Linked DNA regions of Arabidopsis thaliana. The protein of the gene in region 2 interacts with the protein of the main gene of each other region in a pairwise test. Each region holds a gene or a part of one and is shown on either strand. Other genes may lie near its edges.

Region 1 (3,629 bases), on a different chromosome or scaffold from region 2:
TTTCCAAAAAAATCCCAAAAAGGAACCTTGTATAAACCAAAAAAATAAAAAAATAAGATTGTGAAATGTTAAAAAAAAAATATATATAATGGTGATCATAATTAAGCCATAACTTAAGAGTCTTAGATGGTGATGCCAATAATTTAGAGGTGGTTGATTAAGTGTAATCATTCACTTCCGTAAGTCCGATCGTGAAATGTCTTGTGCTGCTAAATGTGTATCGCTTGTCAAAGTCATAAACAATGAAACTCCTTGGCCCCTTTAGATTAGCTTATTGTATGTCATTTCAATTTATTGGATTCTTTCAGAGAATTCATAAAAAAGAAGAAAATAAACATTGGATCATTCATAGCCCATAGGAACAAAGGCCTATACCTTCCATATATTTACGGGCCTTAAAATCTAAATCCAATATCCAAATCCATATAAATGATCCAATCAAACAATCCATAATTTTCCATCACGACCATGTTTTATTCATTTTCTCTCTTTTCCATCTCCGGAGATCGACTCCGGAATTTTCCGACGGAGGTTATGAACTCTAATGCAACTTCTGGCAGTATCAGCTATAGGCTTTGCACTATGATCACTAACAGAAGTTTTAAATCCACCTACACTTTTGCTTATTGTGGTGTTAATGAATGCATAATTGCATATAGATCTTACACGGATTAAGTTGTCTACTTGTCTTGATTCAAATCCTCTATACTACAATAGCAACAAAACTAACAATGTTCTTTGATTAAACAAATCACTATAACCAACCAACTTTGACCATTTTATTTACATTTATATCACCAATCCAAATTCCTAAAAAATGTTCTGTATTAATAACAAATGTAATTTGATCATCCATAAGGGTTTCATAATCAAAACCCAAAGAGTATAAATAATTTACAGTGCAAATCCTTTGACAATCACTGCTCATTGACCAGTCTGCACCAACCACGAATTATTCAACTGTGACATAGCCGTTTCCCTAAAACTCTTGACCTTAACCAAACAGAAATGGGTGCAAACCGTACCCATACCCGACCGGACCCGGGTCGTTTTCAATAGATAACAAACCGGCCCAGTATCCGATCCTCTTCCTTGCGCCACAATCCCCCACGCGCTTGTATCTTCCCCACACGCGCCACCATCGTGATCATCATCATCTGCTATGTCACCGTCTGCGAGCTTCTCCACCAATATAACTCCTTCCGGCGTCCTCTCTTCTCCTCTACCCCACTTTCCTTCCATCTCTGTCCAATCCTCCGCCTTTGGATTCGTTGCCGTCGTCGTCAAACCACCATTAGCCTCCGCGTATAAATGCATCAATAACGGCGACTCTCTAAGATTCTTCACGATCTCAACCACCGAATCTCTCAACCACACATCTAGCTTCTCCCTCGACACAACAGATCCACCGCGTTTCCTTCCACCGATCCTTTCAATCTTCACCGCCGCAGACGGTGGTGACAAATCCTCCATCGACATCGAAATCTTCCCGATCGCACACATATTCCGTCGATTCGTCACTGGAACAACACATGACGATCGAGAATTCAAATTTAACGTGCGACGATCACAACGAACGGCGCATGCACTTCCTCCTCCGCAACAAATCCTCGCAGACGTCGCCATCTTCGCCTACCGGAAGATTCAATTGCAGAGACGAATAGGAATCGGAGAAGATATGCTGCGATTAGATTGGAGATTGCTTCACGCTGACGAATTCTCTTATAGAGTCAATCACACCAATGGTTGCTTTTAAGAATACGTTTTACTGACGCAGCCACACACAATCCAATGGCAATGATGAATTATTAAATACCTAATTTTTTTATTTCTCCAGCACGGAAGTTGTGTAAGTTGTTTGATCGGACGGTTGAGATTTAGAGATGGTAGAAATCGCGTTTATCTTATTCTTCACGTTATCCTCAAAAGTCTGAGGTGGCTTAAGTAGGTGATTATTCCCTGTAAAGTGTTGACGATATAGACTAATTAGATATCAGATATGGACCGTTCGATGTAAATCTAACGGTTGCTATTACGTGAAGCCGGTACGAGATGGAGAACGTGGCGACGCGGTTTAGCTGTGTGCATGGCTTGGGCGGGCACACGCTGGTACTGGATTTAAATTGTGGTGAACACGTGTTATCTCTGTTATTTATAATCTAGACCATAAGATACGCCACGTCAGATTCCACGGTGGACAATGTCTTTTAGAATAGATTGGGCCCGTCGTTTTTTATTTTTGAGGAAAGTTTCGGCCTTTTCGGTATGGCCCAGACCACTAAACTATTGTTATACTTATGTGCGTTGATCTTTCGCATATAAGGATTGGATCATTGGACTGAGGTTTGGAATGTTAGGTGCGTTTTACGTTTCTCCTGCCATAAACTACACAAAGACAAAAGCACATGCAAAAACAACATAAATATGCATCAACCTAAGGTTGCGACACAAATCGAGCAACTATGCAAAACGCTTAAAGCCATGAAGCCTTAGAGATTGACAAGTAGATCAGTCAAAGTTTACGTGGCTTAGTAAAATTATATACTTTTGTTTGCTAAGAAAATACTTTTATATACTTATCTGAATAAATCCACCTCTCGCTTTATTTCTATTTTCTAGTGTCTACATATATAAAAAGATCATGACGACCACCGTTATTATCATTATCTTCGTTGCCATCTTCGCTACGACTCTTCACGACGCCAGAGGAGCAACCATGGAACCGTGTCTCGAATCAATGAAGACTGCTTCGCTTCCTGATCTTCCGTATGCTTATGATGCGCTAGAGCCAGCAATCAGTGAGGAGATCATGCGGCTACACCATCAGAAACACCACCAGACTTATGTCACTCAGTACAACAAAGCCCTCAACAGCCTTCGTTCTGCCATGGCTGACGGTGATCACTCCTCCGTCGTCAAACTCCAAAGCCTCATCAAGTTCAACGGCGGAGGTCAAACCCTAGCTTTAAACGACTAAGTTCTCATTAAATTCTTCCGATAGGTGCTTGTTGATCGTAAGGATTTTGATTTTTTTTTTTCTGTTGCTTTGCTTGTAGGGCACGTTAACCATGCAATCTTCTGGAAAAACCTAGCCCCGGTTCATGTACAAAAATGTTTTTTTGTCGTCACTCCATGTGTCTATTTCTGATGAGTTTAATTGTCTCTTCTAAGGGGTCAAATTGATATATAGGAAGGAGGTGGCAAACCACCGCATGATCCTTTGGCTTCGGCGATCGATGCTCATTTCGGATCACTAGAAGGATTGATCCAAAAAATGAACGCGGAAGGCGCTGCTGTACAGGGATCTGGATGGGTGGTAAGTTTTTTTTCAGAATCTCATTAACAATGTTGGGAACACAATTATTGGTTTTCAGATGAAAGTTTATAAAAATTTCTGACAGAATATCAAAATTCATTTCAATTTGAATTGGATATGTGATGTATATAGGACTCTGTTCGAAATGAAATTGAAAAACATTAATTTCAAAAAAGGTGTTAAAAAGGAAAATCTAAACGGGACAATAAGTTTGGTTAGTGTATAGTGTAGTATTAGAAATATCTATAATTTCATTTTTGTTAATAAACAGGAACTTTTGTATTTCCTTGTGTAGATAAAACCAATGTTTATA
Region 2 (3,503 bases):
TTCACGTACTTTGATATCTTGACGGAGCCTTTGAATTTCAATCAAATTTTCTACAACGTAGTTCCTCATTTTGTATATCCTAAGCCAAACCCAAAACAACTGATCCTGAAACCATTCACAGAAACAAATTAATAGATATTTATAAGATACAAATTTAAATATTTTTCATATAGTTTTTGTACCTCAACGTTGATCTTAAGGTTTGCCATAGTGGCTTCAGTTCTTGCGTTAACAAACCTCCATTGAAGTAATCTGTTTTGAAAAATCCTAAACCGGTGATAATCCTCCTCTTGTACCGGAGATACTTTCTTCTGCGCCATGAAGTACTTCAAAACTCCTGCCACCGCTCCACCGCCACCGCTTCTTATCTTGGCCTTGCTTACGGGTGACTCAGGCGGCGTCATGCACATTGAAGTCGTCGGAGCTGAGCTGGACAGAGGCGTCTTCATAGTCGAAAGTCTTCCAGGAGACAACGCCCACGCCGATGGTGAGCTGGCTCCCGGCTTTACCCCTCTCGATGAAGCGTTACTACGAGGACTACCACGCGTACGTTGCTCCAAGTACCGAGCAAACGACTCTCTGCTTCTACCGTTGTTTATCTCTTGAGATCTTGATGCGCTGTTTCTCGCCGGGATTATGTTCTCGCCGGATTTAGAGTCGGATGATCCGATGGGTCTGGAGGATCTTGTTGTGGACTGTGATCTGGTTATCATCACTCGTTTGCTTGAATTGGAAGGCGAAGAGGAAGAAGATGAAGAAGTAGAAGACGATAACGAGGCGTTTAAGGACACTGGGAGAGAGATTGAAGAGCTTATAGTCCGGCTCCGGTTATTATTGGGCGATGGAGGACGGAGTCTCCGACCGGTGGTTGCCATTTTCTTCTTTAATATATGACGACGGTTAACTATATGACTATATCATACAAGACTTATATTCGGTTTCGTTTCTCGACTCACTTGCCCCTGTCCTTAAGACTCTTATAGTAAAGCTGGAATTATATGGTTCAAGGAATCGTCTAGTCTATATACACTGGTTTGAACAATTGTGATATATAATATAGTTAGGGGTATATTATATTTAATCTGTTAGATAACGGTTGGGGTACTTGAAGATCTGTAGGAGTTGACAGCACGTAGAGGCAGAGGTAAGAACACTTCTGCATGTAGTGTGTCTACATAATAAAATATAGAGTGTATTTTTTACACACACCAAAAAGAGAGATTATAATTAATGTATTATGTCAAAGCATATATGAAGGTCAGCTTAGCTAGAGACACGTCTTTTGTTTATCTCTCGACTAAACAACATGGCGTTTTAATAAAATCAAAACTTAAAAGGTCCAATTCAGAACGGCCCCATAGTATATAGTCTACGTTGAATAAATAAACCTCAAGATAGCGTCAAACTCTTTAGTCTTTACCCAAAAATATTTTTTTTTAAATAACGTCAAAACTCTAAGTCTTGACCTCAACACCAATATATATTTGCCTTCTCCAATATCTGATTTTTTTAATTGTTTATCCGAGTCTTCTTGGTCTTTTCGAATGTTTGCCCGAACCAGACCTTCCCACGTTCGGTGGTTGGTGGCCGCCTCGGCCTTTGGTTGATTTCTGTCCACATTTTGGTCCTTTTCATTCATGTACCATGTTCTAGGGTCATTTGACTTGTTGACCATAAATCTACTAAAACAGGCCTAATACCGATGGGCCGTAGCCCGTTAATAAACAAGACAATTTATATTTGTTTCACTTAGCTTGGGAGCCACGGATCTCTAGAAACATCCAGAGAAATATCAATCTCCCCACTTCTCCAGAACATTCACTCACTGACAATATCCCACCTTCAACACTTAACTCCTGTATATAGTCCTCCCCTGTCTCCAGTTTCGTCGCACACAGTTCTCAGATAAATACTAAACTCACTGTTAAAACTTTCTCAACAAAGCTTCCTGTTTCTCTACAAATGGCATCTGCTCTCGCTCTTAAGAGACTCCTATCATCCTCCATCGCTCCACGTTCCCGTAGTGTTCTTCGTCCAGCTGTTTCCTCTCGCCTCTTCAACACCAACGCCGTTAGGAGCTACGACGACGACGGCGAAAATGGAGACGGCGTTGATTTATATCGCCGCTCTGTTCCTCGCCGCCGTGGTGATTTCTTCTCAGGTAACAAACCAATTGTTTCGCTTTTCCTCCAGATCTATGTCTCTCTGTTGTTAACGTAGCGAAAATCTAGTAAGAAAACAGGTATTAGCTTACACTGAGCTCAAAATCTTGACATGATTGATTGTGTCTTTGTGTAGATGTGTTTGATCCGTTTTCGCCGACGAGGAGCGTTAGTCAAGTGCTGAATCTGATGGACCAGTTCATGGAGAATCCTCTGTTATCAGCTACTCGTGGCATGGGAGCTTCAGGAGCTCGTCGTGGTTGGGATATAAAAGAGAAAGACGATGCTCTGTACCTGAGAATCGACATGCCTGGGCTGAGCAGAGAGGATGTGAAGCTGGCTTTGGAGCAGGACACTCTGGTGATTAGAGGAGAAGGAAAAAACGAGGAAGATGGTGGCGAGGAAGGAGAGAGCGGTAATCGGAGATTCACAAGCAGGATTGGATTACCGGATAAGATTTACAAGATCGATGAGATTAAGGCGGAGATGAAGAACGGAGTGTTGAAAGTTGTGATCCCGAAGATGAAAGAACAAGAGAGAAATGATGTTCGTCAGATCGAGATCAACTAAAAACGTCGACGTTTTTTTCTGTTCTAGTTTTGTTGATAGGTCTTTGAATAAGAAGTGTGTGTAGTTTGGCACGGTCGATGTTGAGTCATGTAGTCTCTAAAGACTAAAAGGTTATATGTTTCTTTCTTGAGACGGTGGTTTTTTGTCTTGCTTAAACCAAAATTTGCATTCCAAATCAAAGCACTAATTAAATAAGTTCCTAATCGTGTATTCTTTTAGCTAACTCGGTCGGTTTACATGCCTTTGTGGTTATGAGACTGGAGCTTATGGAACGTATTTGGGTTTAAAATTTTCTGTAGACTAGGAACTAGGAAGACTTTAAGACGAATTCTGAGGCTGCGTAAGTTGTCGACGGACTGGTCTATTAATAACGCGTAAAAGTGTTAGGCCCGTTCGAGTAGAATAGCGCGTTGGACAGCCCAACTTGAATGAATCGATCGACTTTTATTAAAAAAACAAAAGTAGGGCAAAAAACAAAAAACAGAACCTCGACATTAACCTAAACCTAAGAGCAAAGCAAATCGACGGCGACGGGAAAATAGAACCGCAGATCTCTGTCTCCTCTCTCTCTCGTAACTGTTTGTTCGATGGCACCGAAGAAGGCGGAGGAAGTGGTCGAAAGCCCTCCTGTTTCCAGTGAAGAAGAAGAATCTGGCTCATCTGGAGAAGAATCTGAATCTTCTGCTGAAGTTCCGAAGAAAGTCGAGTCTTCGCAAAAGCCTGAATCTGACTCTGAAGGCGAATCTGAATCGGAGTCCAGTTCTGGGCCCG

The links.
Region 1: the proteins of HSP23.6-MITO (region 2) and AT3G56360 interact in a two-hybrid assay, tested with the Arabidopsis thaliana proteins (one large-scale study listed by BioGRID).

The regions. Positions count from the first base shown.
Region 1 is NC_003074.8:20,894,638-20,898,266, reverse strand, and holds AT3G56360 (uncharacterized protein), read right to left. Parts: upstream 1,936-3,629; 5' UTR 1,627-1,935; coding exon 925-1,626; 3' UTR 520-924; downstream 1-519. Other genes in the region: AT3G56350 (Iron/manganese superoxide dismutase family protein), read left to right, coding at 2,642-2,951, 3,057-3,103, 3,191-3,316.
Region 2 is NC_003075.7:12,915,127-12,918,629, forward strand, and holds HSP23.6-MITO (mitochondrion-localized small heat shock protein 23.6), read left to right. Parts: upstream 1-1,799; 5' UTR 1,800-1,962; coding exon 1,963-2,161; intron 2,162-2,298; coding exon 2,299-2,732; 3' UTR 2,733-2,984; downstream 2,985-3,503. Other genes in the region: QWRF7 (QWRF motif protein (DUF566)), read right to left, coding at 1-105, 183-875; AT4G25210 (DNA-binding storekeeper protein-related transcriptional regulator), read left to right, coding at 3,320-3,503.